3 linked regions of the Caenorhabditis elegans genome follow. The protein of the gene in region 3 purifies or fractionates together with the protein of the main gene of each other region. This does not show direct contact. Each region holds a gene or a part of one and is shown on either strand. Other genes may lie near its edges. The genes, in order: acdh-9, uggt-1 and pbs-3.

Region 1 (9,869 bases), 4.1 Mb from region 3:
AGCGGAAAGACTTATCTCTACATCACTCTGTACAACATCTGTGTTGGAAGAGGACTGAAGGTAAACTTTCAACCAAACATACTAAAGTTATTTCAATACTGCATATTTTCAGGTAGCGTGTACGGCGTGGACAGGAATTGCAGCCAATTTGCTCCCACTCGGTCGAACATCCGCTTCCCTTTTCAAGCTTGATATTAGAAATCAATGCAAGTCTTCTCTTCATCAGAGGCAATTGAAAGAAGCACAAGAGCTAGCGGAGAACGACGTTTTCATTTGGGATGAAGCATCAATGGTTCCCAAGGTATTAGAGTGATTCTGATCGTACTAATCAAATCATTCATTCAACTTTCAGACAGCCCTCGACACGGTCGATGTACTGCTTAGGGATCTCACAAAGATCGATCAGCCATTTGGTGGGAAGATCCTGATCCTCGGAGGAGACTTTCGCCAAATCCTACCTGTGGTGGAGAGAAGCTCTAGAGCTGATCAAGTAGACGCATGCATCAAAAGATCACCACTATGGACAGAGTTTCAAATTTTGCATCTCATCTCAAATATGAGAGTAACATCTGGAGACTCGGATTGGATCCAATTCCTCCTCAATGTTGGCGATGGATCTGCAAATGACTCTGATTCAAAGGTTACACTCCCACTCTCTGTCATGTGCGATCACAACATCGTCGAGGAAGTGTTCGGAGCAGTTATCGATCCAACCACGTCTGATCCATGTGACAACGTCATCCTTACACCTAAGAACGTCGACGTTGCTCAACTGAATGACGATGTTCACAATCGAATGGTTGGCGAGGAAAGAATCTATCTGTCACGAGATGAAGTGATCGTGGAACATCAAGCGGATACTATGCACTATCCCACCGAGTTTCTCAACAAGATGTCCCCATCATCTCTTCCTCCCCATATTCTCAAGCTGAAGAAAGGCTCAGTGATCATTCTGCTCAGGAATCTCGATGTTTCCGCTGGCCTTTGCAATGGTTCCCGTTTCATTGTCGAAACATTGGCCAGTCACTCACTTGGATGTCGCTTTGCAACTGGCGAGAGGAAAGGACATTTCACAATCATTCCAAGAATCGATTGCTATGATGATAAGAACATCTCTTTCCAACTCAGGCGCACACAGTTCCCAGTTCGCTTATCATTTGCATTATCGATCAACAAGGCCCAAGGACAATCCTTTTCTAAAATCGGTCTCTGGATTCCCACCGATGTTTTCACTCATGGACAACTATATGTTGCTCTATCAAGAGTTCGTACCAAAGAAGGTCTTATTGTAAAATTCAGTTCTAATATTGTCACCAATATCGTTTTTAATGAAGTTCTTTGAATAAAGCTTATTATTCTTCTCTGCTATCTCGCTAGACAACTCAGCTCTCTTCTGAGGTTTCACTCCACAACTCATCTCTTCTCTGCTATCTCACTCGACAACTCATCTCTTCTCTGCTATCTCGCTAGACAACTCAGCTCTCTTCTGAGGTCTCGCTCGACAACTCATCTCTTCTCTGCTATCTCGCTAGACAACTCAGCTCTCTTCTGAGGTCTCGCTCGACAACTCCAGCCTTCTCACTCGCCCCCATATGTAGGAGTATGGGGGGAGAGAGTATTATTATAACCACAGAAACACAACAATGTGCCACATAAGAGACAGGAGATAGTGCTCGCACTACCCCTGAATCACCAACCCTCTCAGAAGCACCTCTGCTCTTATCTGGGTCTCGCTAGACATCTCCAGTAGTTTGACCATTCTCAGCAACACTTTTGCTATTTTAGAATTTTTTTGCCCTCGCGGGGATCGAACCAAAAGGTCCGCGCGCCAATGGCGCGCGCTACCAGCTGTGCCATGCTGGAAGCGATTGAACTTCGACCAATAACAATATACAACATTTCTTTATTTGTCAAAGTGAAATAGTTTTGAACAAACACTATTCAAAAAAGTAATTTTAAATTGAAATTATATCAAATTCACGATTTGTTCCCAAATATTTTAAACTGAAACTCAATAAGAGAAGATCTCATATTCTCACTGATAATCCGAAACATGACATTTGTTTCAATGCTGTTTTCAACCTCAAGTTGTAAAATTCAAAAACCAAGCTGAAAATATGTTTTAAAAATCTAGAAACTACAATAATTTTTATGTGAATTTTTGGAAAAATCTCAAGCCAGACGGAGCACGCGCCTTGGCGCGTGCGAACGGCTGGTAAGTTATAAAATCACAAACACGTTTCACGTGAAAACACCCAAAAACTGATCCGTTTCTCTGTCAGTCCTTAGTTTACATTCATCGTCATCTCAACGATTCTTGTCACTGTTTAAGATAAGACTGGCATGCTCCGTAAACAAAATTCGAGCTCCTTGAGCATCTTCTTGCTAGTTCTGCTGCTTCTTATTTCAGTGTCTATTTTTATCACGTCCAATCAAATCAGTAAGTTTCAAAAGATCATAGTTATGCTAGTTACACGGGAAAATTCAGATCGTAAATTGGAACAATGCTCTTTGCCGAGCTTCACACGACAAGCTCGAGTGCTTAACCCAGCAGCTCTTTACACTTCCCATTCTGCAAAAGAGGTCCGCAAATCTTCTTTTAAATCTGCGGATCAGGCCCGGAAGCTACTGATTGCTGCAGCAAAGTTAAATGACAACAAGGACTTTTACGCGAAGGTGAAGACGGAAGCTCATTGTGAGAATATGGAAAGAATTGGAGAGTCAGGAGACGGGGGAAAGTATGTTTGCAATCCAAAAATGGTTCGAAATGGGTGCACGTTGATGTCATTGGGACTTAACAATCAAATAGAATACGATGAACACATCCACAAAGCTACAGGGAAGCAATGCATCATACTTGGAGCAGATATTGTGAGTTTAAAACGTTTGAATTTTAAATATTCACTCTGTAAATTAAGGGAGAACAAAACGAAAAGACGAAAGAGTCATACAAGAATATCAATGGCCAATTGTTCGTAGGAAAAATCCCGGACAATCTGCCCATCTCATCGATGCTCGAGAAGTCTGGTAGAAGTGAGATTGAGCTGTTGAAAATGGATATTGAAAATGGAGAGTTCACTGCTTTGGAGCCACTGATCAAGGACTATTTTGTTTGTCAGATCTTCATTGAAATTCATGGAACCCCGTTGAATCACTTTGAACTGCTCCAAACCATGGCAAAATACGGCTTCCGTATCTTCAACGTGGACCCTAACCCATATTGCGAGGCATGCTGTGAGTACAGTCTCATCAACGACTTTTGTATGGCACAGTTTGAAGTTACTCCGTTGGCCAGCATCATTCCACCAGTAACTGTATGAGTTTTTGTTTTGTTTTTATTTTATTTTATTTGTGTTTTAAATAAAGTTTATGTAAATTGAATTCTTGGTTTTATTTCGACACTAAACCAAATCAGTGCTTATTAACGTGTACTCATATTTTTCGGCTTTATCCGTTTCTAGTTGAAATTCTTTTTGACTCAATTTTGCAGCATCTAATTTTCACTGAGTTTCACAGCTTTTATTAATTGATGGAAAATTAGTAGAATTCGTTTTTTCTTAATCAAAAGTCTATATTGAAAAAAAATTATTACAATAATAAATCATTGATTTGACCTTTTTATGCTTTTTTCAAGGCAAAGCTATACCCAAAAAACTCACTAGTTCATCTGAAAATGAAACAATAACCAAACACAGATTGTTCAAGCCAAACATTTTATATTGATTTTACAAAAAAAAACTTTAACATACAAAACTTTTTTTGATTCATATGAAAAAGGTCGGTGAAATCATAGCTGCTGCAGACGCCTTGATGTTTGATGACGCATCACAAATGTTTTAGCATTGACTGCATCCGGAAGAACTAATTGGTGTTTGACTCTGATTGAAGTCTGAAATCTCTTTCATATAGGCTTGAGATTTAATCTAAATAGAACAAATAGAGGTTAAGGGGTCAGATCGGATTTTTATTTGAAAACTTACAAATTTTTTTTTCAATTTTTTCGAAAAGCTAGTGTCTGCAAGAGGTTTGCAGTTTCTATAAAACATCTTTTTCTTGAGGCCCATGATTTGCCAGTTGCTATATTCCTACTTGACTATGCCCTCTTGTTTTGCAGAGTTTTAATTTCAAATTTCAATACGTCAATCTATAAGAAACAAAAGGAGGAAACATCACTGACCACCGTTCTCTTTCCTTCTATTCGTCAGTTGTCTCGATGCGATCAAACTATCACTTTCCCCCTCTGCGTCTCTTTCATATTTTGCCTGCAACTCTCACTGCGTCTCTATCTCTCCCTCTCTTGCCTGCCAAACGGACAAAAAGTCCACTTTAGTTTTCTTCTACCACGTGCTCTCGGTTTTCGTGATTTTCGTTTGATTTTTTTTTCAAATTTTCAGCAGATGTTGCTACGAAATGTGCTCTCCAAAGGTCTTCGGCTCAGAAATTCCAGCAGTTACTGCTTGAGGCGTAGGTTTTATATTTTACAAGTTCAATTTTTTAAGAAAATATACTTTCAGCGGGTGTTGGACTCGAACGCGACGTCGAAGATGTTTTGGAAGCCGCCCATCAATTTGCCAAGAAAGAAATGTACCCAAAAATGGCAGATTGGGATAAGCAGGTAAGATTTTCCCAAAAACATTCTTTTAAAAAATGATTTGAAATTTTTCAGGGAGAGCTCCCGATGGACGTGCTCCGGAAAGCTGGAGAAATGGGATTCGGAGCCATTTATTGCAGTGGCGACCATGGAGGATCCGGGCTCTCTAGACTTCATGCTTCAGTAATTTTTGAGCAGCTTTCAATGGGATGCGTGTCGACGGCAGCTTATATTTCAATTCATAATATGTAAGTTAGCTTTAAAAAAAACTAGTGAACTATATATCTTATAGGTGCGCCTGGATGCTGGATACCTACGGCCCGGAGAAGCTTAAAGAGGACTTGCTCCCAGACATGGCTGTTTTCAAAAAGCTCGGATCCTACTGTCTCACAGAGCCAGACGCGGGCTCCGACGCCGCAAGCATCAGAACCACGGCTACCAAAAAAGGAGATTATTATGTTGTCAACGGATCGAAAGCTTTTATCAGTGGAGCAGGAACTTCAAATAAGTAGGTCTTTCTTGAGATATTCTGTTTAAATATTGTAAAAAATTTAGCTACTTCGTTATGATGCGGCAGGATGGTGCAGCTCCGGGAGCCAAGGGAATTTTCTGTCTTATGATTGAGGATGGAACTGAGGGATTCAGTTACGGGAAGAAGGAGGATAAGCTTGGGTGGAACTCACAACCAACAAGGATTTTGACTTTTGAGGATTGCAAGGTGAGCGTTTTAGAAGTTTTAATTTTAAGAAGTATTAATTGACTGTTTTCCGATAAAAGAAACGATTGCCCTGAGCATTTGTATAAATTTCCATTTTCCATTTTCCAGGTACCAATCACTAATCAAATTGGAAAAGACGGGTTCGGCTTCAACATCGCAATGGCTGGGCTCAACGGAGGACGCATTAACATTGCGAGTTGCTCACTAGGAGCTGCTCAAAGGAGCATGGACTTAGCTATTGAACATTTGAAATATAGAAAACAATTTGGTAAGAGCTTGGCAGACTTCCAGTATAACCAGTTCAAGCTTGCGGAGCTCGCCACAAAATTGTATACTAGCAGGTGAGATTTTCTTGTCAACTAGAAACTTTTATAAAAAATTTGAACTTATTTTCAGACTAATCGTTAGAAACGCCGCGGAGCAACTAGACAATGATGATCCGGAGAAGGTGGCTCTTTGTGCAATGGCGAAGCTTCACGCCACTGATAATTGTTTCGATGTGAGTAATTTTTCAGCCGACATTTGACAAAGTTTCTTGTTCCAGGTCGTCAACGGAGCTCTGCAGATGTTCGGTGGCTACGGATTCCTGAAAGATTATCCGGTTCAACAGTACCTCCGCGACATCCGAGTTCACCAAATCCTTGAAGGAACCAATGAAATGATGAGATTGTTGATTAGCAGGGACCTGCTCACTAAGGATGTATTCTGGAGCTCCTGAGCCATATTTGTCTCCAAGGAATTTTAGAAATGGGTATTTCCAATTGCTCATGGCATTTTGCTATTTATTACAAACTTTTATTGAATATAAATGTTTTAGATTTTCCTTTTTTCTGCACAAAAACGAAATTAAAGACTAAAAATTAATGCTCTTTTATTTGTAAGCATATTCTATCACAATTTTCTTTTCACTGTGTGGATAGGAGCTTCACGTCCCTAGAACATCACAACCAAGCATCGTTCCTGATCCCGGTAATGAGTAGGCTCATATATTTTGGCCCAGTTGGCAAAGCAGGACCGATAAATTTTGGTGGATTCTCAGCAACTCCATGAAGCCATTCAAAGACTTGAACACGAGCACATGGATCATTTTCATTCATTGGTTGGTCGTAGATATTCACTCAAGAGTTGATCCAAACTGCCCGAAAAGTTTGGGGTGCTCAACTTCAATTGTTTCAAAGCCGATCCTGTCAACTGTCGGCAACAATTTTACCAAACTACGTTTTTACCTAATTCTAATAATTGGGTTCAAATGATTTATTGTTTCAAAAAATAAATTTATAGTTCTAAGACATTTTGAGTTCCGAATCTTTTGTCAAACTTTCAGTTTCATAATCTAGCTCTAAACCTTCCAGATCGCCGTCTTCTCCAGCAGCAGCTCTTGCACAGCAGCAAATTCCGGTACAAACGCAGGAAACAATGGATCCAACAATTCCACAGAAAAACAGAAAAACTAGAATGCAAATGACGGCAATTGCAACTTCAACCGTCATGTACCACTCGCAGTAGTTGGTCTGCTCACAGCATTCTTTCCAGAGAGCGTTGGTACTTTTGCAGGCGTCATCAAGACAGTAGTCGCTGCTAGCGGTGTCCGAAATAGAGATTCATTAGAAAAAAGCTCGTGAGAGGTCGGACGCTGCAGGGAAGCGATTTAGCAGAGCAGCCCTGGGACTCGGCTGCTAGATTTATTATCTTCAGAAATGGGTTTAAAATGTCGGCTGCTACTTTTTTGTTGTCACAAAAGCGCCTAGTGTCGGTACATCTTCAAAACTTACATGATCGACATTTCTCGGCAAGATCTGAATTATCAAACAGCGACATGATGCAAGTTCTCAAAAACCGATAGATACAACTGGTAATGATCGAACATATGCAGTTGTAAAGATTATATTCTCACGTTTTCTAATAATAAATAAAAGACGTGTCTTTCTAATTGTTTTGTCCATTATCTCCTAGTTTGATCAGTTCTAGTTCTGCCGATTTATTAAATTTTTACGTTTTTATAATGGCTTGGTACGACAGCAGTGAGAGCGCTCAGAACTGTAAACAATGTAAGTTTTAAAGTCTTGATAATGCGTGCATCGTTTTTATTTCAGATGTTCTTTCTTCGGAGTACGATGATTGTGTTGAAGACGACACGTGCATGAGGACTAACTCTATGTATCTGGAATGCTGCGTCAAGCACAGATACTGCCGATGGTATGGAAACACCGGCTTTTTCATCCTCATGCTCTTTGTCGTCATTATTTGTATAATTGTATCCGTCGCTGCAAGTGTCGTTTGTTGCTGTACGAGTTGGCGTACCGGAGTCGGACAAGACGATCCGGATCGTGAGCATTTTGAAGACATCTGCGAGGAGAACACTGTTTCCCATGAGGCTACAAAACGCTCCAAAATTGCTTGATCTATGCAATTTAGGCATGCGACTTGAAAATCGAAAAAGATAATGTTTTTTTAATGAATAAAACCTTTATTGTGTGTTCGTCGGTTTTTTTTAACCCTTTTAGTGTCAGCTATATATTATGCTTCAAGTTTGTTGAAAAAAAAACGTGTTCTGAAAAAATTTAGCCGCTCGGAAGAAAAAACCACCCAGTTCAAACAGTTGTTCATTCAAGATCGATGCAACTTATATCACATTCAACGTCATCCCGTGCCAAAGCCTCTTCATACATTTTCCAGTTAATATGCACATCGTGTATAGTTCTCCATGTTTCTGTGCTTGTCTTGTACTTCATGTCTTCCGGGCAATCAACCTGGCAATGCCGCCTGAACAGCCCATCGGCGATTTTTTCAATTTCCGGATTACGATCCATGAACGATTTCAACCGTTTTGCTGTGAGAGTTATAAGTGTTGGGCGCAGTCTTTCGTACTCAAATTGTTCCAGATTTTGAAGTTCTGAAGTGAAAAGATTAATTATACTGTCGTCTGGAAGAGATGACTAACCAGAAACGTCAATCAATTCAGGAACTTTTTCAGGAACTGATGGGGGCTCTATTATCCAGTCTGTCTGAAGAGTTACTGCTTTTCTATACGGAATCGGTGAACGTTTCGATATTTTTTGAGAAGAATAAGACTCCGATGCAAAGCGCTTTCGAGGGTCTGAAATTGAATTTTTAAATCTTCTGCAGCAACTTTTTGAAAAAAAAAGTGTGGCTCAGTTTTCTTTCCACAAAAAAAACACTTACCGGTCGGCTTCATCTCCAAAACTCGAATTCTATGCAATAAAACCATCGCAGTTTGAGAAAAATCCTCAGAATCCAAATACTTTTCCAAGAGTTGCTTCAATCCAAACCAGTTGCATATCTCCATAGTAATCTTCAGATTGAGAAGTTGGTTTAATGATCGATGCACATGTATTCCAGCTTCAAGACTCTTCGCACACTTTGACAATTCCTCGAAAGAGGAGTTCATTGCCATATTGAGTAGAAGTGAACAATAATTTCTGATGGACCATCTTCTTTGTTCCCCAAATCCAACGTTTTTTTGGGTTTTCACGTAATTTGTTGGATACTTTTCAATTTTTTTAAAAATCAAACAGTTATTTTATAAATTTTGTTGAATTCCTAGAATTGAACTATTATCAAGTGTCATTTTATTTAAAACGAGGCTCCATCATTCTACATTTTCATCACTTTATTGCATTTTAAATATCGGAATCTTCGTGATAAAGAAGCCTAAACTGTGAAAACTTGTCTTTCCAATTTTAATAAGGTTTTGATGTTATTCAAAGCGGTATCATCTTTATTTTTGATTGAGACTTGAACAAAACCATGGAAAAAGAAGAATAACGGGATCATGTCCTTCCAACTTTTAGGAGCCTATTCAGAAGGTCTACTTAGTAAATATGGGAAACATTTTGGCGGGAAGATGGAAATTTTTGGGAAATAAGTTTTGGTGATGCATTAGAAATCCCTTCTGGAACATTCGAGAAAACTTTTTGAAAAGTTTTTGAAATCTTCTAGAAAATTGAACCATTTTTGGGACACTCTGAACAGTCGGGAACATTCTGCAAGAATTCAAGACACTCTAAAATATTCTAAAATTTCCTGGGAAATTCGATAAATTTTTAAAATCTTCTAGAACCCTCTGAAAAATTATAGAAAAAGTTTGGATATCCTCAAAATAGTGTAAGATTTCATTTTTTGTCTTTAAACATTTAAAATTTGCTAGTTTTGAATGTAATGAATGTTAACAAATCTATAGAAAGGTGTAAAATGTTTGGAAATTTTGAAAAATTTTGTTTGGAGAATTCGAAAAACGATTAGATTAATTTTGAAACAGCACATTTTACGGTAAGTTTAAGAATGTTATGAATTTTATGATTTGAAGAACATATCGAAAATTTTATGATGCTTAAAAAGGTCCAGAAATCTGAGGAAAAGAACGTTCCACGTAAAGTTTTTAGATAAGAAAAAGGAAATCAAGCGAACGGCTGGTTATAATTATAAGGTGATGATGAAATTATCAGCGAAGAGCAAGTCGGCGAAAAAAATTGTACAATCGCCTTGAATAATCAAACAATAATAGACAATCACAATGATCACAATGCATTAACTCAAAGA
Region 2 (12,946 bases), on a different chromosome or scaffold from region 3:
TGCATCCCAAAACTTCCCTTTAAAAGATTATACGTAACTCGCTTCATCTTGAAGATATCAATAAAAAATTAACTAAATACGATAGAAAAAGAATCAGCAAACATTTCTGGTTGACAGTTTTTAAATGGAACAAACGTCAACCAAAATATATGATAGAAAAGTTGAAAAATGTAATGCAATGCTACTAAATAAAATATATATATATATATATATATATATATAATTTTCAGTAGGACATAACTTGCTATACGGTTTCAAAATTCTTGAAAAGATGATCACAAAATTGTCATATTGATTCAAAATGTTGCACACACTGAATTCTTTTGGGGTGTTCCACCAAGATATATGCAATTTCGTTGCGATTTCAATTATTTTTGTTTAAAATCCCGGTTTAATAATAAGGCTTCAGTAAAATAATATTTTCATTGAATGTTGAAATAATATTCAGAACATCTCATCCCGGTTTATATTCTCAAACGATATATTTACAAGAAAGTATAATAAGTGCTTCAAAATCTGACTGCCAGGCAAAAACCACAATTACCAAGAAAACATGATACAGGGCACAAAACCCAAAATCATATTATTAGATGAAGCTCGACATTTTGTTTTCTCACTTCCTTCAGTTTTCAAGTTTCACACGCTGCCATTTGGCATGTGATATCAGCTACTACCAGTGTTTTTCAGAGTGTTAACATATTCAATAAAAACTGGAACGATTTATTCACGCTCTCAAAAGAGACAACTCGGATTTTCAAAACATTCGAACCTAACAAAACCTTTTTTTTGGTTGAATATTGAATAACTGAATTACTTTATGTTTATCGGAGTTTTCTATCGTTTTTTTTTGCTCTCTTCACCTGTCTCTTTGTCTCTGAGCAGATGCAGATAAGCGACATCTGCCACGTCGTCATGTGTTGACGACCCTCTTCTCATATTAAGTGACCACCCCTTCTGCTCTCGTCTGCTGACTGTTCTTCCTATTCATTTGGGTGTTCCGTTCTACTAGGAGACTTCGGCACAAAATGGCTGAATGGCAATATTCGAACAGTTACTTGGTTGGCCCATTGATAACTTTTACATCAGCTATCAGTTTTGTCATGGGCAAACCCAGTACGGTACAGAATCTATGGAACCCTGAAGAGTTTTATCCAGCACCCTTAATTGCTGCACTTTTCTGTATTTTTGCTTGCGCTTCAACCATCAAAAAGCGAGTTGCAACTAGACCAAGCGACCTTCGAGAACTTGGTACTTCATGGAAAAGAAGCCTTATTGTAGGATATATTCTTGTCATTGGTATAAGTACTGCCTGTCAAGTTACTATTTGGAAATGGAATTGGCACCCAAGAGTGAGTTGTGAATTTCGTCTTTTTTTTGTCCAGATATTAGATATTTTATATTAGACACATTTTTTTTTAATGATTCAAAAAATCATATTTCAGGGTTCATATTCCTTGTTTGTCATATCAAATCTTGTGATGATGATGGTGTACGTTTCATTCGTAACTAATATAGCCGAACAATGTGTTTTTATTTACCGCTGGACGCTTGTTATGCCTTTAAGCATCTTAGCGTCAACAGCTTACATATCAACGTTCATACCATCAGAAGAACCAGGAGTATGTTTTAAGCATAATTGGCATACATTTATCATATCGTTGTTTCAGGACCGATGGCTGTTCAACCTGTACTACAACGTTGTAACTGCTATAAGTATTAAAGATTTGTATGCTGTGCTGGTTAACGACATTCGTGTTCATATCCATTGGGAGAAAGAGTACAATAAACTCAACTACAACATATCTCATCAAGGTGACGAAGTTAACCAATCCGAGTATTCAAGTTCAGATGAAGACTGGGAAAAAGTCGGAGAGGATGATTGTGATGAGACGTTAGATAATTGTGATAACTGAATAGTTTCTAAATAAATTTCTAAAGATGTTGCTAAAGGGAAACCAAAACGTTTTTTTTTGTTTTTCTACAATTTGTTGTATCATTTTTTAATCAAAAGATTGTACATAAATAAGTAATATACAAATTTGATAATCAGATGGAATTTTTTCTTCACGTCAAATTTCCCATCTAAAACTTTTCATTTCTAATGCATTTTTTTTTGGTTTTTAAAATGTCAGTTTTTCTCATCTCAGTATTTTTGTCAAATATTTTTAATATAAATAAACGTATTCTGTCTTAATGTTCCTTGCAACTCAAAATCTATCAAAGTATATTCCAGTACATAGGCATTTAACAAAAATTATAATTTTTAGGAGTTTCCAAATCGATAATATGACGTTTTTATTCAAGAGCAGCCTTTCGACATCTAATTATGGAGACTCTTTCCACATTCCCTTTTTCTCTAATCCTCTCCTTGTTTGAATAGATGAACACTCTCGTTGCCCCCTTCCCTCATGTTTCCTTGCGAGCGTGGCCGACGTGGTTGTGCACAGCCACCAAACGTGCAAAGGCGATCACTGACGCATTTATTGAGCCGACGTCAGCATTACTGGCACGCATTCACAAACTATTCATTTTTAGAATTTTATTTTTTAAATAACACATTTCTTTCTATTTGTCTTGCTATTTTCTGTGAAGAAACTTTAAAAAAATGAAATTTTCAATTTTCCAGGTAATTATGAACCTAACAGGTTTATTAATATTTTTTTGCCATATTGCGGTTCTCGCAGCTCTCGAAAAGAAAGGAGTTCACACATCTCTTAAAGCAAATTGGGATTCAACGTCACTTTTAGCCGAAGCAAGGTTAGTTATTAAAAGTCTTAGAAAAAATACGAAGCGTTTTTTCAGTGAGTTCATCGCGGAAGAAAATGAGAAATTGTTTGTAAAATTCATCGATATTGTAAACAAAGATGTCGGTACATTGAATTGGGAAAAATGTGAGTGAATTGTCAATAATCGGCAATATGATATCTTTGATTTTCAGTAACGGATGAGCAAAAATACGAGTACACAATCAAGACGGCAGGCAAAGTACTGTCAACATCATCTGTGGACCTTCTCAAGTTTGCTTTGGCTCTTCGCCAGTATTCTCCACGTGTTCAATCCTTCCAGCAGGTGATTTCTTTATACTAATGAATTTTATTAGATGAAAAACATTAAATTCTCCAGATTGCTGTTGAATATGGAGAGAAATGTGATGTCTTTGTCGTGGTCGGCGAACAAGTTTCATGTGAATACACTAAGCTGGAAAAAATGATCAAGGACGCAAAAACGAACAGCCAAGTGCTTGAGTCGGATCATATTTTTGGTGAGAAGGATTTGAAGCAGGCAGCGATTTTGTACGGAGAGCTGGGTACAACTTCTTTCGCCAAAGCTTGGGAAAAGTTGAGCAAACTGCAAAAGACCAAGCTCATTTTCCGTCATTTTTCAAAGGTATACTTAAAATGGAAAATGAAACCCCATTTTAAGGAAGTATTTTCAGAAAACTGATTCTCACCCAGTGTCACTTTCCGGATACGGTGTAGAACTTGCTATCAAGAACACGGAGTACAAGGCTGTCGACGAGAGCAGTGAAAAGAAAAATGTAGAAGAAGACGAAGCTGATCTTTTTGGATTCAACATTAAACTTCTCAAAGAACTTCACCCAGATTCCGTAGATGCCATTGAATCATTCCGTGTGAACCTAAAGGAATCCGACGAATTGACTCCATTGAAAAGATGGGAACTTCAAGATCTCAGTTACCAAGCAGCGCAGAAAATTGTCAATGCAGGGCCAGCTGATGCTATTGGAACTCTGGAGGAATACTCCCAAAACTTCCCAACTCATGCTCGTGCTCTTGCAAAGACGTCAGTCTCAGATCTTTTAAGGAAAGAGGTTCTCCAAAATCGCAAGATGCTAGAGAAGGCAAGCATTGAAGTTGGAGAAACATCGTTGTACATCAATGGAATCAATCAAGATATTAACAGCCTTGATTTGTTCAAGTTAGCTGATCTCCTCAAGCAAGAGAATAAACTCGCCGATGGTTTCCATAGTATGGGAATTAACGTGAGTTTCCATGAATACAGAAATAAGTGTAACAATAAAGAAATTTCAGCGCGAGTATTTGTCAATTCTTGTTGGAATGGACACTTCTGATGATGAGAAGACAACTTATGCAGTCGATCACAGAGAGGGATATCCATTCGTAAGCTTACGAAGAAAATACTTTTCTCAAAAACCAATTTCAGTTTATCAATAATCTGGACACTGACAAAAAGTACAAACAATGGGGAAACAGTGTCAAGCTTATGCTCCAACCATACTACCCGGGAATGATCCGACCAATTGCACGTAATTTGTTCAGTTTGGTATTCGTAGTGGATCCAAGTACTTCCGAAGGCCGGAAATTCCTTAGAATTGGGCAGACATTTAACAGTCACGATATTGCTATGAGAATCGGATACATCTTTGCTGTTAACCAGGATACTAAAGCCAGTGGAGAAACAGATCTTGGAGTTGCCCTTCTCAATCTCTTCAACTTTGTTTCCATCGACTCTTCAAATGCCGATGCACTGAAAGTTCTCAACAACTTCCTTGATGACTATCGCTCTAAAGACCCAACTATTGAGGATATCAAAGAATTCTTCGAGGCTAAATTCAGTGATGCCAGCTTCTCCGATGTGTTTGGAGTCAACTCTGATTATGATAAAGGACGCAAGCATGGATTTGAATTTGTGCAAAAGACTGGTCTTAACTCGGCACCGAAGGTTCTCCTCAACGGTTTCATTTTGGACGATGAAGGGGTTCGCGGCGACAATATTGAAGAGACTATTATGATGGAAGTTATGAAGATCTCTCCAAAAATCCAAAGAGCCATTATGGAAGGTATACTTTTTTTAAAGCACTCTCGATTCCTCTTTACATTTTTCTTTACTTTTCAGGAAAACTGACCGACCGTATGAATGTTGGAAACTGGGTTCTCGAACAAAAGGATGTCATGCCAAGAATTAACAAGCGAATTTTATCCGCTCCAAGCAAGAAGACCTATGTTGAAATTCTTGGATCAATGGATTGCAAATCATTGAAGGATGTGGAAAACCTTTCGGATTCGGACAAAGCTGGATGTCTTCTCCAAACTACAAAGTACTTACAAAAAGCATCAGCCGATTCTATTTTGGTAAGAACTTTACTTCAGTTCAGTTTGAATGCATATAAATTTTCAGCCAGTCACATTATGGGTGGTCGCTGACGCCGAGGCTGCATCGGGACGTCGTTTCATTTACAATTCACTTCAAATATTGAAAAACTCTGCCAACTCTAGAGTTGGAATCATCTTCAATCCAGAAAGTGTTGAAAAGGCATGCGAGTCAAACAGCATCTCTTCGTACATTAGAGCTGCTCTTGATTTTCTTCCGATGGACCAAGCTAAGCGATTGATTCTCAAGTTGAGCAATGAGGAGTATGCAGCTGACTTCATTTCTGGAAAAATCACATTTGACGATCTTAGTGTTGGTGGTATGGATACTGCTAAATTCCTTGCCGATAAGAAGAAACTTGACTGTGAAAGAACTCGATTGGAGTCTCAGATTGTGAAAAAAGTACTCGATATCTCATCTGGTGGCCGTGTTGTTGTTGGAAATGCTCTCCAAGTTGGACCTCTTGAAAGCTCAGAACATTTCGAAGCTGCTGATTTCAAACTTTTGGAAAGTATGTTGTTGAGCAGAGGTGCTGAAGTTATTTCTTCTCATCTCAAGAAGTGGGAGTTTGACGTTTCCAACGGAGTTGGATCAAACACGGTTTTCTCGATTGCTGGACACGTTGGAAAGCACGCTTCTTCACAGAAACGCACATGGGTTAGCATCCAAGGAGATGAGCACAGTGTTGTCACACTTCCAGCTGATGAAATGGATCGACCAGCTGTTGACGTTCTTGCCGTTGTTGATCCACTCACTATGGAAGCACAAAAACTCGGATCGATTCTCCATTTGATTAAAAAGGTTACAAACTGCGAAATCAAAATTGTGATGAATCCAAAAGATAAGCACTCTGAACTTCCGTTGAAGAGATTCTACAGATACGCTGCTGCTTCTGAATTGAGTTTCGATCACAATGGAAACTTGAACACAAATGTTGTCAGGTGAATACTTTCTATTTAATAAAACCAATTTCAATTTCACAATTTCAGGTTCGATAATCTTCCCAGTAAGCAACTTCTGACACTTTCGCTGCAAGCTCCCGACTCATGGATAGTGGAAGCCGTTTCTGCCAAGTATGATTTGGATAACATCAAGATGGAACAAGCCAACGGAGATGTCACTGCCGAGTTTGCACTCCAACACTTACTTCTCGATGGACAGTGTTTCGACGAAGTTAGTGGTCAACCACCACGCGGTCTGCAGTTCACTTTGGGAACGGACAAGAACCCTAAACAATTTGATACAATCGTTATGGCTAATTTAGGATATTTCCAACTTAAAGCAAATCCTGGTGCTTGGAAACTAGAGATCCGTGATGGAAAATCTAGTGAGATTTACAAGATTGGATCGCATGTTGGAGCGGAGAAGATTGGGGAGGATGTGCTTCAAGTTGTTATTGACTCATTCACTGGTAAATCAGTAAGAGTTCGTGTTGAAAAACGTGAAGGCATGGAGGAGAGAAATCTTCTTTCCGACGATGAAGAAGGTGTTTGGAGCAGTCTTAGCAAGTAAGCATTTTGTTTAAACTCTTTTGAAATAATCTCATAATGTTATTTTCAGCTTGGTGAGCAGCAAAGAAAAAACCCAGGAAGTGATCAATGTATTTTCTCTCGCATCCGGTCACTTGTACGAACGGTTCATGAGAATCATGATTGTCTCGGTCATGAAGAACACGAAGCATCCAGTTAAATTCTGGCTTCTCAAGAACTACCTGTCGCCACAATTCAAAGAGACACTTCCAACTCTTGCCAAGCACTATGGTTTCGAGTATGAACTGATCGAGTACAAGTGGCCAAGGTGGCTTCACCAGCAGAAGGAGAAACAACGTATTATGTGGGGATTCAAGATTCTTTTCCTTGATGTACTCTTCCCACTTGATGTTCAAAAGGTGATCTTTGTGGACGCTGACCAGGTGGTGCGTGCTGATTTGATGGAGCTGATGAAGTTTGATCTTGGAAATGCGCCATACGGATATGTGCCATTCTGTGAAAGTAGAAAGGAGATGGACGGATTCCGATTCTGGAAGCAAGGATATTGGGCGAACCATCTCGCTGGGAGAAGATATCACATTAGTGCTCTCTACGTTATTGATCTTCAAAAGTTCCGTCAAATCGCTGCCGGAGATCGTCTTCGTGGACAATATCAAGGACTATCTGGCGATCCAAACAGTCTGGCTAACTTGGATCAAGACTTGCCAAATAACATGATCCATCAGGTTAAGATCAAATCGCTTCCACAAGAGTGGCTTTGGTGTGAGACTTGGTGCGATGATGGAAGCAAGAAGAATGCAAAGACTATTGACTTGGTAAGTTGATTGAACACAACTGAAATGCTGTGCCATTGATCTGTTTTAAATTTCCGTGAACAATTAACAATTTTCAGTGCAACAACCCGCTCACAAAAGAGCCAAAGCTCGACTCAGCCGCCAGAATTATTGGAGAATGGAAAACGTATGATGACGAAATCCGGGAAGTCATTTCTGGACATTCTTCTGATAACCCTTCGGATAATGTCATTTCTGAAAATGATGACTCTCACACGGAACTTTAAATTAATCTTTTCATATGCCAAGTTTACCCGTTATTTATTGAAAATGTTTCCAATCACCATTATGATATTCAAAACTCTGGGTATATTTTTTTCCAAATCAGTCGATTCGCTTTTTCTGCTATTTATTTTTTAGCTTTTGACTATGAGAGCTTTCAAAATTTCATTTTCAAATATTGTCAAACTTGTGATGAATCTTTGAAACATTTTTTTGCCTCTCTCTATCCAATAAATATTTTCTTTTTCTTGATGTGTGGGTGTATTAAAGAATGCATTTGCTTGATTTTTCTGAAAGCGGATATTACAACAATATCAATGCGATGCTCGTCGGGTCAAATCCTCATTCGAATCATTTGATCGAAAGAAGATGTTTCGAGCGGTCATCGTTTCCTCTCTACTTGCATTCGTGTTTTCAATGTACATTGCGGACCCGGCAAAATGGGAACGCCATCAGTACTTGGTGAAGGTAAGACTTGCTCAACTCGCTTCGAATTTTATGTTTTATGTTCAGGTACTCACTAAGGATACCAAACTGAAGAATATCTCAACTTGCACGGGAACTCTTTTGTCTCCATCCGTTGTGCTAACCAGCTCGAAATGTTTCCCAGACACCAGAAAGTATGGTTTCAAATTTTTAAATATTCCCGTAGCAAAATAAGAAGCTTACGAACGAACATAGCGCATTATAGTCTCTTACATTTTACACTTTTTCTGCTCTGAATTCGACTACGCAAAAGATTCGTGAATTGGCTTGTTGTGCGGAATGTGCTGACAATTTTCGATTGAAAACTTAGACGAAACTATGCCAGAGATAGTTTATAGAAATATATGTATAGCAACTGTTGGTTTAGAAGAAACGCTGAAATGGATTTTTATTTGAAGGCAATTTAATATTTATTTAGGAACCTTATTGCACAAGCTATTATCAAAAAGAAGGATTCCTCTGCTACCATGAACAAAGCAATGCTTGCTGTGAAAATTGACGGCGACTTGGCTCTGATGAAAATCGATGCGGTTAATGAAGATCATGTAAAAAAGACTCTAGTATTTGCAACTCTTATTAGAGAAATTATTTTTATAGTTTTGCGATAAGGAGCCACACCCACCAAGAGTTGCACGGCTCAACTTCAAACCAAGCTTGACTGATGCTACTTACCGTACAATTGTGCCAAGGGATCTTCAAGATTCCAAATGTAGAGTGATTGGATTTGAAACTACGGAAGATGGTTCGTAACTACAAAACTATGTAGCTACTAAATAAGTTATTATATTTTTAGTGGAAGACTTCGCTACTTCACACAAAGTCCAAGTATTGGATCTTGATGTTCACGCTGACACAGAAAATCTCATGTTCTCAGAAGTTAACAGTAACTCTACAGGTCGTGTTTGCTGGGTAAGCGTTTTTGTTGTTTTTTGGAAATACACACTTTCAAACTTTGCATTACTTAGTTTTTATAAAAAGTAATTGTTCAAATTCAGGATGATATAGGAGCACCACTGGAATGTGTTCTGGATGTAGAAAACAATAAATATGTTCAAGTAGGAATTGTTTCTGGTCTCTACGGGCGTGAGGTAGGCTTATCGCTTATTTTGTCTTTAAACTTATGATTTTTATAGATGGACAAGGAAGACAACAGCACAATGGTGGTTGTCAACTGCTCAGAAGTTCAGGTAAAATCAACGAGCAATTATTCTGAATACATTACGTAATAGAAATTCTTTATAAAAAACCGCATTTTGTAGTGTTGAGAATCTTATCAGACAACAAAATACGCCGGTGATTGATTTCTCATCTTTTGGACTTTCGGGAGGAAATATGAGATTAAAAGAAACGGGGGGCAAGGGGCAAAGTAAATAATCTTCTCCATTATGTGGATTTCCAATATTATCAATTTCCAGACCATGCAATTTGTTGTCTTTAGCGACAATACATTTGTCCATGCTATTGAGAATGTGGACAAGGCTAGCGTTTTTGAAGCACAGGACAAATGCTTCTAATTTAAATTCCACTTTTTCATTCTTCATTCCCTTTGAAATAAATGTTTTTATGATGCAATAAACACTTGTTGGTCCCTTATAACGTATTGATTTTCGTGTGCACATTTTGTGTTTGCTCTGTACTTCTATTCTTACGTTTGCATCTTTCATTCTATCCTTTGGTTTCAATTAAAATTGTTGCAAAAACCTAAATGAACATCGGTCTTTTTCAAGAATCTTTTAGTGTAATAATTGTGTTTGAAAATCAATCAGATGTTTGTTGCAGAAAAAATGAAAAAGAAACATTCTATTTTTTTGAAACAACGAACTTCTCATTACTTCGAATGTTTTATATTTCGGTACTTGTGTAGTACATACCTAGCCCAAAAATGTTAACCATTTTGAAAATGTGTCCGTGACCCTTTGTGTTCATATTATCCTCGGGATCAGTGTTTTTTGAGCATGGAAATACAAATCAATTTCAGTTTTTAATTAAATAATTGTTTTATAAAGAAATGAACGGAAAATGTATTGCAAAATGTTTTTGAACCTGGTATACTTCACAATTACCAAAATTTTACCCAAAAAACTAAGTAAACGTAGAAAATAAATAAGTGTTTAGCTTATTCTAATTAATGAGTTGTCTGTTCAAAAATTCTTTGAAGCCGTGCGTTTTGATGTCTGCTCTTTTGAACTCTATGCTACAACTATACACGTTCTGTGTTGCCATAGAAAATGAATTTCCCATTGGTTTCGCCCATTTCCTCAGCTTTTTCTTTCAGTATTTTGTAGTTAAAAGGCTTATTTAAGTTGTTTCTTTTTCATTGAAAATTCACTTCTTCAGAAAAAGTTTCAGAACCAGTGACAACATGCAAAAACTCAATTGGAAACTACTCATATTATCTGCTGTTCTTGCAATTACTGCCATTTTTCAAGTAAGACCATCGAGTTTTTTTTTCTTTTTGTTTTCAATTCAAAATTTCAAGATGGGATATACGAATGCCTATCCAAACACAGCTATTGGAAGTTTTCGAATATTTCTCAACGAGTCAGCCAATGAGCCATATACACTATCAAACTCGGAATTTGAATGGGCCTGGTCAGCAATGCTTGCAATTTATTTTATTGGATTCGCGGCTGGTAGCGTGATATCGGCTGGCGTTGCAGATAGAATAGGAAGAAAATGTGAGTTATATTACTTATAGTTGAGATATATTTCACAGTTAATATTTTAGGGACCTTGTTTCTTGGCACCTGTGGAAGTCTGCTATCTTCCCTTATAGCGCTCTTTGCAATAATTTTGAAAATGCCACTGATGTTTGGGTTTTCTAGACTGGTTATGTCGCTTTCGGCAGCAATTTCGATGAATGGTCTGATTCTATTATTTCAAGTAAGTTTAAATTGTATTCAGTCTATCCGAATTATCATCGGGTTTTGGAATATGTTTGACAATTGCCGAAAATGCCAGATTGTGAAAATCTTAGCAGAATTTGAAATTTTAGCCGTGACAAACGTTTTTATTTCAGTATTCTGCAGGGTCTTACAAAATATTCCATGCTTAGAGGCTTAAGACACGAGAAACTTGAAAAATGAAAATTCTGTCTCAAAATGCATTTTTCCGCCTTAAAACTTTAAATAATTTGAAACTCAACATTTTCGGCAATTTGCATTTTTGGCGATTGGTAATTACGGTTTTAGCTAACAATTTTCACACACCCAATTCAGCGCCACCAAAACTTTTTATTGTAAAGCTGTTAATTAATTTAAAAAGTATGTCTGTAAATTTCTGTTTTTTTTTCAAAAATGCATGAGATGGTGAATACGAAAACATGAATATGACATTTACATACTTTAAAATAGTTTTATATTTATACTTTCCATATTTTAAACACACTTTATATACTTTTATATACTAGTAAGTAAAACTCAAACAACTATTCAATTAAAAAAACCCCTTCTTCGAATTTTCGAATTTCAAACCCATCCTTTTTTTCATCTTCTTTTTTTCATTCCACTAATGGCACACACCATCACTAGTAGCACAACCATAAAAGCTCATCTTCTCATCTACAAAGTAAATGCGCGGCTTCTTCTTCCATGAAATGCATTTCAAAAAAGAAAGAGAATGAAAAATGAGAAAATGGGAAACCGACACACAAGCAAGCGACAAACAACAAAAAACGAGCGAGCAACAAGATGATCCAAATCGTAAATTATACCTATTTCAGGAAAGCTCACCATCTCATATGAGAGGGCTAATTTCATTCAATGCAGAGATGGCTTTCGTGATAACTAATCTCATTGGAGGACTCTTTGGAATGCAGTCTATCCTGGGTCAAAATATCGTCGGGCTTATCGCGTAATAAAATAATAAAATTCCAGATACCATTATTAGAAAAATGAAAATTCAGGGTATCCATTATCCCATCATCAGTCGCTTGTTTCTTGACGGTGTTTCTCAAGGAATCTCCGAAGTATCTTTTTTTGAAGAAACACGACGCTACTGAAGCGGGACGAGCACTGCAGTTTTATCAAAACATCAAAGACGAGGAAGAAAAAATGAACGTTTTAAATGACTTGAAACTCGAGAAAGAGGAAATGGGTCATCAAAAGAATGGTTCACTCTTTGACATAATGGCAAATCAGCCAGTTCGTCGTGGGTTTTTGTTGGGGCTTGCAACAATGCAGTTGACAGCATCAGTATGGCCTGTTGTGTTTTACTCTACCGACTTTCTCATGGATGCAGGATTCTCATACGAACTTTCGGAAAGTGTATCAACAGGAATGTTGTTTTTGAGGTGATACATTTTTACACTTTCTCTGCGGGAATTCAAACGAGCAATCACTAATAAAAATTGAATTGCAGCTCGTTGAGCACAATTGTTGGAATGTTCATCGTCGAAAAATATTCACGAAAATGGCTCCTAATTGGGACGGCCAGTGTAAATATCGCAGCTATTTTAGTATTCTCACTTAGCGCAATTTTGTCACATTATTGGACTTGGATAGGATACGGATGTATCATTTGTCTTATACTTCATGGAATTTCTTATAGGTAAACTATTCTAATTTCCACTATTGCGCCACAGATTTTGCTTTCAGTGTTGCAATGGGACCGATTGCTTGGTTCATTACTTCTGAACTGGTACCTATCAACTTCCGTGCAGCATCGCAATCCCTGGTTCTTGCTCTTAACCACACAGTTGCATTAGTTTTAGCTTTTCTGACATTTCCTCTTTACAAAACAATTGGTAAGGTTTGTTTCATTTGATAACCTAGAAAAGAAAACAAG
Region 3 (8,727 bases):
CAAATGGAGGCCAATGCTGCTATTAATGAAATTAAAAAACGAACGAGAAAGCTAGACCAATCGCTGCAAATGAGGGTAATTCGCACTTTGACGAAAAAACCATTCAAATGCTTTTTATTTTAGTTTTGCGCTGATCAGTTTTTCATCGGCAATCATTGCACCAAACTGGCATCCGGAAAGTCAATAATTATCTCGCAGAATTCCAAGGTTAGTTCGAGAATTAATTTGTTACTTATATTTTATATTGTCATTTTCAGAATCGGATATGCCTTCGCTTTTTCATGGCAGCGGATCCTTTGGTGGGCTACACTGGACGAGATTTTGGAATCGCTTTCAATCAGATAGACCACATTTCGGTAATTTATCGAGTTTAATTTTCGAAAAGCTTTAACTAATAATTTCAGCTGAAAGATGAGCAACAAGAGAATCCCGCTGTACTCATTTGCACTTTGAACCTCTCAAGCTACACAAAAATGTGTAAGCTCCAAACCGGCTTGAAGGATGTCGTCGAGAAACCATTTCTGTATAACAAATCTCTTGCACGGAATTTGACATTCATACTTAAACCGTGGAACGATGACCCTGACACGTTTGTGAAGATCTCATACAATGATGAACACCGAGAGTATGTGCACAGCTATGATTACGATGTGGCCAAGTCCTTAATGTTCAAAGAGGTGAGGATTGAATTCATACGATGATATTTTAAAGTTTTGCAAGTTTTCAGGTCCAAGCCGTTTGGGAACAATCACTCAAAGAGCAGCTACAACGTCGTCACCAAACCGGTCGAGTTTATTTGACAAGTCAACTCAGTGAAATGACTCCTCGAGAATGGGTTCAGTTTCTTGCTGATCAGAAGCTATCTAAAATTGTGTGTCACAACGGTTCTATTCAATATGCGAGAGTAGAAGACAATCCACATGGACGAAAACATACAGCAGTTGCCACAAACGGTTGGCTGAAAATATTTGAATCCAAGATTAATTTGATCTCATTTCAGGCTTCGACCACCGAGGAACCAGAGTATTGAATTCATTTGGCAAAGCACATGCATCTCTTGCTACTCAAGAAAAATCATATGCAAAGAAGAGGTAAGTTGAAAGAAAATCGTATCCAGAAATTGTAGTTCTTTTTTTTTCAGGAAACTCACGGAACAATCTCTCAAGGTAAGAAACAACTATTTTTCGACACCTAAAATACCCAAGCCACGGACACAGTGTTTATAACGCCCTTTATGTTCCACCACTATCTGAACTCACATTTAATTTATATTTTCTTTACTCGTTGTATTGTCATATTTTAAGTCTAAAACTCAGTGAGTTATTCTAGCTTATTTATCGAAATGATCGGAGTGTTTGGCTAGAAGGAAGTTGTGCGAAGAACTTGAAGATGCCAAAGATCAATTCGGAGCCAAATATGGGAGAATTCATGGGATGGCCAGATATGGATAACGCAATGGTATGTCAAAGGTCTCGGCGTCCTGTGACTGCAATTTGAATGAATTGTAGACCCACCCGACGTCAAATTTCGAGAATGAAGATGTGATGAAAAGTACAAAGCAACCGAACGATTTCGTCAGTTTTGAACAACTGCAAGCTCCTCCACCAGTTCTCCAACGACAAAATGGAGCTATTTATTCTACTCAATCCGTCGCTTTTACACACATTTCCGGAAATGATGGTGTTGAGGATCTCACTGAAAAAATAAGTCATTTGGGAGAAGAAGCGTACAACATTGATATGGCAAATGCTCTTCATGCCTTCAGTGACAACTGGCATTATGAAATTCATCCTAACACTGGTAGTTAGATGATCGGCACTGATTTCAAATCATTAAAATTGATTTTCAGTGCACAACGCCTCTTTCGAACAATTGCACATCGGAGATGGGAATTCGAGCATCGGAACCATCGGATTCAACCCATTAGAGCCCTATCCTCAAAGTTCATTCCCACAAAGCAATAATTGGCAACAGGTTTGGTTTGCTCTTGCTCACCGAAATCAACCTATACTAACAAAAATACTCCATTTTCCCCATTTTTCTTTCTGTTCCCTTGTTCATCTAAAAAATTTAAAACACTGTGCTCCGAGGCTCTTTTCTAGGGTATTTTCAAATATTATTAAATTTTCAGGCTCATGGTGACTTCACGTTTCCCCAAGTGTCGTTTCCAAATACACAACAGGGCTCATGTTTGCCGGTAGGCATCGTGGATAAACCTCTTTTGATTTAATTTTTTTTTTCAGAGTACTCCGACTGCAGCGCTGCCTCCAACTCGACCAGTTGTTGAGAAAATACCTCCAGATACGCAACTTTTCACGTTCCCACCTTCTGGCTCTTGCACAACGGGAATGGATCCTGTAGTGTGTAAGTTTAATATTACTCGGATTTTTGTTGAATTCAAACAGTTATGCCCCTTTAAAAAAATATTGTAGCTTCAAGACTTTTCTGGATTTTCATCAATTTTTTTCATTTTTTTCATTTTTGAAAAACACCAAGAAATAATAATATAAACTTTATTTAAAGGCGCATACCTATTTGCATTTAACAAAACTTTATTGTGGTGAGACCAAGCAAAGTACTGTCTGCGCAAAATAGGTTACTGTAACTGTTCCCTCATAGAATCCATGAATTTCAGTGCTCGTCAAGGATATCAAAACACTGGATCGCAAAGAATTCCTGAATGACAGCGTCATGGCATTTATGCTGAATTATATTGCATTTATGCTTTCGTCCGAGCTGTAAGTTTCATTAAACATCATTGGATTTTAAAAATTATAATTTAATTACAGAATGAAATCCGTGCATATGTGCAACACGTTCTTATTCGTCAATCTGACTCGCCTACTTCCACCATTGTGCTTCTCCAAAAGACGACCAATCGAACCAGAACACATAAAAATCGTGAAAGACAATTGCCCTCGAGTTCTCCGTTGGACACGAAAATTCGATGTTCTTGCCAAAGATTATATTATCATTCCGATCAACGAAGATCTTCACTGGCTCGTCATCGCTGTTATCAATCCATCGGGTGCAATTGTCGATATGTCGAATGAGGAAGCTTCCAGAGCTGCTCCGAAGTGTTATATTGTATTCTTCGATCCGTTGAGTGGTCTCGATCCAAGCAAGAAGAATCATATGTGTCACTGCATCAAGATTTATTTGGCTCAATTGTATGAAAACACTAAGGCTCCTGGAATGAAATTTGCGTCGAAGAATCCAACGATTTACGATGAGGAGAGAGTTGTCGTGACTCGTGCTGAAAACACTCCAATCCAAGACAACTTTTATGATTGTGGACTTTATGTATTGCATTTCATTGAAGGGCTCTTCTGTTATCCGAACCGTCCGGTCAATGTGAACGTAAGTAAATCTTCATGAAACATCACAATAAATAAACACTTTTAATTCAGGATTTTCCAAACTTTGACTGGTCAAAGTTCTTCCCGGAGGCCAATAAAATGTGTGACTTGATGCGAGACAAAGTTTACAATTTGATTCTTCAACAAGCGGATAAACCTGCGAGAAGCCGTCTCGCCAAGTTCGAAAGGGAGAACAAATGTGGATTGTCGCGTGAAGGAGCTCTTAGGAAAGCACGTCGTCATAGTGCAGTGAATGAACGTCGTACGAAACGGCACAGAGACTATTATGCACGTCACTATTCCTTGAGCCCGCCACACCGAAATGTGATGAACGATGATCCGACGTTCATGAATCCACGTGGATTGGCGGAAATGCCAATAACTCGACTTGTTCGTCGCCTCAGAATTCCGGAGGATAACTTCCCAATCGCTTACTAGGCATTTTGATCAAAAATTTGTCTCCCCTCTCAAAAATTGCCGGTATTTTCTTCTCTTAGTTAATTTATTTTTTAAAGATTTTATTATCCTCCCATTTTTACGCTCTCTCCTTATTTCTGCGTTCTCCGTCATAAAGTGACAATTGTTATTTTTTCTTTATAACTTGATCACTCAATTTAATATTTTCAGTTGATCTCCACTCTTTTTTCCTCCTTTTATTAAAATTTCAATATTCTGTTCCATCAATTTTCCTTTTGTACACCCATTTCACATCTCCGCAACGGTTTCTAAATTTTCTATTTGACTTCAGATTGTTTTCTTACCGTGTATGCGTTTTTCCGTCGATAAATTCGCGTTTTTAATTAATTTTTTTCATGTTCTGTCTGAAGAAAATGGTCGATTTCCATAGGTTCTCTTCAGCAACCCTGGCACGCTATTAGTCTCCGCCCACTTTTCCCTGCCGCAGTTTCCTATTTGTAAGCAAAATGTCCGCCAAACGATTGAAACGCTCATTTCACTTCATTGTTTCTCTGTTTTATTAAATTTCCAGACATTCTCACACTCTCTTTCAATTTCAGATATATCTCTTCGTCTTAAAGACCAGAAAAACACTCAAAAATGTCGATTATGAGCTACACTGGTGGAACCGTCGTCGCCATGGCTGGAGACGAGTAAGTTTTAAATTTCATGGTTGAAATATTATTTTATTCTTATCTTTTCAGATGTGTGTGCATTGCTTCGGATCTTCGTATTGGAGAGCAGATGACAACAATTGCAACTGATCAGAAGAAAGTGCATAAGGTGACAGACAAGGTCTACGTAGGACTTGCTGGATTCCAATCCGATGCTCGCACAGTCTTGGAGAAAATTATGTTCCGCAAGAATTTGTATGAGCTCCGTGAGAATCGCAACATCAAGCCACAAGTGTTGTCCGAGATGATCTCGAATCTGGCTTATCAGCACCGCTTTGGCAGTTATTTCACCGAGCCACTCGTTGCTGGTTTGGACGACACCAACAAGCCATATATCTGCTGCATGGACACTATCGGATGTGTATCTGCTCCACGCGATTTCGTTGCTGTCGGAACGGGACAAGAGTACTTGCTTGGAGTTTGTGAAAGTGAGTTTTTTGAATTTTGTTTAACGTTCAATTTAAATACTTTTTACAGACTTCTGGCGCGAGAACATGAAGCCGGATGAGCTCTTCGAGGCTACTGCTCAGTCGATTCTTTCTTGCTTGGAGCGTGATGCTGCATCAGGTTGGGGAGCAGTCGTGTACACAATCACTAAGGATAAGGTTAACGTCTCAACTATCAAGGCTCGTATGGATTGAGAAATTTTCCCCGTTCCCAACATTAAGTGTATACAATTTAATCTAATTTATTTGTTTCTCTTTTCCCTGTCTCATCCCCACACCCCAGACCGACCGGTTACCGTATTTTTCAACTTTTAAATTCTTTTGTGTTGGTTCTTCAATATCGAGAATACATTTATCACCCATTATGACTTGTAAATGTTTTATCTTTAGTCTCCCGAAGTTTATGGCAACAATTCTACGAACAAAAAAAATACTACACAGATCCTAAGAATTAGAAAAATTTCACAATTAAATCATGCTTATAGACATCTGGATTCAGCAGGGTCAATGCTTGATGCAACATTACACCAGAAAGCCCCCAAACTCGCTGGGTGGAATGAAGATACTCGTTCGGAGCATTGTGATGGACCTGAAAAACTTAACATTTTTTCGGAAATTATTTAAAAAATAAACCTTGAACTCCGTGGAATCGAACGAAGGCAGTGTGTACTTCATTCTCTTGCTTTGGAATTTAGTTAGTCCGGCTTTTTTGATAAGTTCATCAATTGGAATCGTGAAAACAGCTTGTACTTCATCAGAGTTGACCACCAGATTCTCGAGAACTCGCTCATCGGAAATGTATCCAACAATCGGAGTAACATTGAAATCCGCTTGCCGTCTTATCACACTTTTCAAATGACCCCAGATTTCCACACTTTCAGCGTTAACCCCGATTTCTTCAAACGTTTCACGGAGAGCAGTTTCAGTTGTAGTTTCTCCTGGATCCATTCGACCACCTGGAAAACATACTTCACCACGATGCGATCTGAGATGAATCGATCGTTTCGTTAGAAGCACAGAATCACGACCGTCAACAGTCACAAGCGGAATCAGAACAGACATTGCCGAATTCGCGTCGGAATCCGAGACTAGGCGAGGATGTTTCGATGCGGGAATAGATGAAAGATTCTGAAAATGAGCATTCTTGGTCTCTAGTTGGCTAAATGATTGCAGTATTAAATACCTTCAGAAATTGTTCTTTGGCATCCTTCCCGAAGAATCTTCTACTACAAACATTGATCAGACTCCTCTGAGCACTGAGTCCATATCTCATTTGGTTCTGAATCAAATACGAAATGTTTTATAATAAAAGTTGAGAACGTGAGGTACTAATAGGCAAGGCCTTTCTTAATATGCAAAACAAATGGAAAACATCTTTTGTAAAAACTTCTTCATCAAAAAATATAAAATAAATCTGTGAACACATAAAGGGTTCAAGGAGTCAGAAGAACAGAAGAAATTTATATGAATAGAATGTGTACAGTTTTTGGAAGGAAACGCCAAAAACTGTAGATTGTGGGCGGGAGAGGCGGGGGTTGCACAATTTACAGACACTTCTCGGTGTTCGAAAACAACGCGAGATTCTCAAAATTAATCAATTAAACTGAATGATTAGAAACTAGAATGACATAGAATTGAACTTTTTGGAGGAGCAAGGATTGGGTATCACAGCCTGGAGCTCACCGCTTTCCTGTCATAGATATCAGTCTGAAAGCAGGTTACAATAAATAAATAAGGAATTAAATGGGGGAACTGTCAAATGGTAGAAGAAAGAAAATTTGCGGATCCCGTGCCGTATACCCGAAAAGAAAACAGAAAAGTGGGGAGCACATTACTGTACACGAAAGAGAGAAAAAAGGACAAATGAGGGTAAAGCACACTATACACATGATGATGGTGGATGTTGACAGAAAATACAGAAGAACAAAGGGATGTAGAGATGATTAGGCATTTGGAGGAGCATTCAGTGCGCTGTTTATGTTTATGAACATCCAGGCGATGAAGACGAGGAATCCAAGGACGAGAATGCTGAAAAAAAAACAAAGGAATAAAAATAGATTAAAAATAAAATTGTGGTTAATGTCATAGTGGTAAAAGCTGTTATCAGTCACATAAGGGTGCAAGCGTAAAGCGTATTAGAAAGTTAACATTAAAACAAAGTGCTCCTACTCACCTAGCCATCGCCGTCGGCAATTCTCGACGGGTCTCGGAAGCAAGTGATCTAAAAATTAGTGGTGTGAGGGTGTTATTGAGGGCGCAATGGAAACAAAAAAACTGGGTGAGCACAAAGGACACTAAAACTCAGATTCGTGCAAACAAAAGACGTGCACATTTACCTTGTATGGAACATAGAGAGATAGTGGGAATATCACGAAAATCTGAAACCGTAGAAAAATAAAATGATAAGAAACCGCAAGGAGGGAGAGAAAATTAATATTTCTAGATTTCTCTTTTAAAAATAATGAAAACTATTACCTCCATGGAAGTGCTCCACTCATTTTCTGTGTATCCAACAGAGTCTGCGGCTCTTCGGATCCAGCGTGTGCTCTCATGCTCATCACTTCGTCGATAGATCGATTCAAAACCTGAAACAATGTTTTCTTTCCGATTTTCAATTTGTTGGGGCACCTGTTGATGCGAGGCACTCGTTAAAAGCCGATTCTCTTGTTCGAATCCTTGGGTTACTGTATTGAGCTCAATCTCCAATTTTTCAACTTTCTGGCGAAGCTTCTCATTTTCTTCTTTCATTTCTTTGAAAGCTTGAACAGAAGTCATACTGTCTTCACTCACTGGACGAGAATTGTATTCCTGAAAATACAAATATTTAATGAATGTGCCTATTTCCATGTATCACATACCAGTTCATCAATCACTGCTTTAGCTTTTTGCAGAGCAGTCGCGTTGACCTCCAATTCAGCAGTTCGTTTTTTGAGTATCTCATCAACTTGAGCCTGGTTAGTCTCCGCACGCATTTTAGCTTCTCTCATCTGTTGAGCTTCAACTTCTGCTTTCTCCAGCTGAATTTTTAAACCAACAACGTCGCCGCTAGCGTGTTCCTGGTTCTTGAGAAGATTCTCTTGAAGATCTTCAATCTGCTGCTGGAGCTCTTCAATTTGCTTGGTGGCGAATAGTTTCTCCTCTTCCAAAACGCCATTTTTACTTTTCAGCGTGATAAGCTCCCCTTTCAGCGGCTCCAACGATTCCAGCTCTTGAATACGCTCCGTTAGTCGTTTGTTCTCAATTTCCAATGGCAACGTGTTCTTCTCACTGAAAGGTCTAGGCGGCATATAGAATCGGTGGAAAGTTCGTTTTTAACTTACTCAAACGACAGATTTCCTGCTTCAAACATAGACTCATGAAGCGATCGTGGAGTGACAGCTTCTTCTAAAAATCAGAAATAATTAAGGATATTGAATGTTTATAAACTAACTGAAAATAAGTTGGTTTTCCAGCCGGTTCCGCTCTTCAATCAATTCGTCTTTTCGATCTTCCAACTCTTTGACTTTCTCCTTATGCTGAATCAATTGGATCTCTAACTGCTCAACACATCGTTTCTTTGAATCCAGAGAAGCTTTTAACTCAGTGTTAAGAGCAGTCAAACCGCCAACTTGTGTCCGCAACTGAGCAATCCCATTTTTGTTAGCATCTTCCAACGTTGCACTTTTGACATGATGATCGAGCCGCGATTTCAATGCTTTGTTTTGGGAAAGCAACTCCTTGATTTCCTTATCTTGTTGCTTGGAGAGTTCCGCTTCTTTTTGATATTGATTGGCTACAGTTTTCCATTCATCT

What was found.
Region 1: the proteins of pbs-3 (region 3) and acdh-9 fractionate together in Caenorhabditis elegans (co-fractionation; one large-scale study listed by BioGRID). This does not show direct contact.
Region 2: the proteins of pbs-3 (region 3) and uggt-1 fractionate together in Caenorhabditis elegans (co-fractionation; one large-scale study listed by BioGRID). This does not show direct contact.

What each region holds. Positions count from the first base shown.
Region 1 is NC_003280.10:843,129-852,997, reverse strand, and holds acdh-9 (Isobutyryl-CoA dehydrogenase, mitochondrial), read left to right. Parts: upstream 1-4,394; 5' UTR 4,395-4,397; coding exon 4,398-4,464; intron 4,465-4,514; coding exon 4,515-4,615; intron 4,616-4,666; coding exon 4,667-4,839; intron 4,840-4,883; coding exon 4,884-5,099; intron 5,100-5,146; coding exon 5,147-5,309; intron 5,310-5,417; coding exon 5,418-5,650; intron 5,651-5,705; coding exon 5,706-5,808; intron 5,809-5,853; coding exon 5,854-6,027; 3' UTR 6,028-6,134; downstream 6,135-9,869. Other genes in the region: F28A10.5 (Methyltransferase FkbM domain-containing protein), read left to right, coding at 2,344-2,440, 2,489-2,871, 2,919-3,320; F28A10.13 (60S ribosomal protein L35), read right to left, coding at 3,788-3,889, 3,981-4,064; F28A10.7 (uncharacterized protein), read left to right, coding at 7,312-7,357, 7,403-7,710; F28A10.4 (WSD domain-containing protein), read right to left, coding at 7,913-8,202, 8,251-8,406, 8,493-8,724.
Region 2 is NC_003284.9:7,490,663-7,503,608, reverse strand, and holds uggt-1 (UDP-Glucose Glycoprotein glucosylTransferase), read left to right. Parts: upstream 1-2,626; 5' UTR 2,627-2,632; coding exon 2,633-2,757; intron 2,758-2,802; coding exon 2,803-2,891; intron 2,892-2,938; coding exon 2,939-3,069; intron 3,070-3,123; coding exon 3,124-3,387; intron 3,388-3,436; coding exon 3,437-4,000; intron 4,001-4,049; coding exon 4,050-4,139; intron 4,140-4,182; coding exon 4,183-4,819; intron 4,820-4,875; coding exon 4,876-5,111; intron 5,112-5,157; coding exon 5,158-6,071; intron 6,072-6,119; coding exon 6,120-6,638; intron 6,639-6,690; coding exon 6,691-7,435; intron 7,436-7,512; coding exon 7,513-7,680; 3' UTR 7,681-7,915; downstream 7,916-12,946. Other genes in the region: F48E3.6 (DUF4220 domain-containing protein), read left to right, coding at 1,101-1,349, 1,443-1,619, 1,668-1,913; try-14 (Peptidase S1 domain-containing protein), read left to right, coding at 8,045-8,143, 8,189-8,295, 8,580-8,706, 8,759-8,903, 8,955-9,070, 9,157-9,249, 9,295-9,348, 9,577-9,675; F48E3.2 (Major facilitator superfamily (MFS) profile domain-containing protein), read left to right, coding at 10,524-10,589, 10,641-10,839, 10,890-11,044, 11,883-12,013, 12,066-12,452, 12,521-12,709, 12,757-12,905.
Region 3 is NC_003280.10:4,951,076-4,959,802, reverse strand, and holds pbs-3 (Proteasome subunit beta type-3), read left to right. Parts: upstream 1-4,375; 5' UTR 4,376-4,415; coding exon 4,416-4,468; intron 4,469-4,519; coding exon 4,520-4,917; intron 4,918-4,966; coding exon 4,967-5,130; 3' UTR 5,131-5,323; downstream 5,324-8,727. Other genes in the region: ulp-2 (Ubiquitin-like protease 2), read left to right, coding at 1-75, 124-207, 258-356, 405-677, 728-953, 1,001-1,091, 1,142-1,166, 1,330-1,458 and 7 more; ndx-3 (Nudix hydrolase 3), read right to left, coding at 5,387-5,524, 5,569-6,063, 6,119-6,208; zyg-12 (Zygote defective protein 12), read right to left, coding at 6,879-6,963, 7,109-7,156, 7,411-7,520, 7,564-7,743, 7,794-8,211, 8,256-8,319, 8,366-8,727. UniProt on the Caenorhabditis elegans protein: Non-catalytic component of the proteasome, a multicatalytic proteinase complex which is characterized by its ability to cleave peptides with Arg, Phe, Tyr, Leu, and Glu adjacent to the leaving group at neutral or slightly basic pH.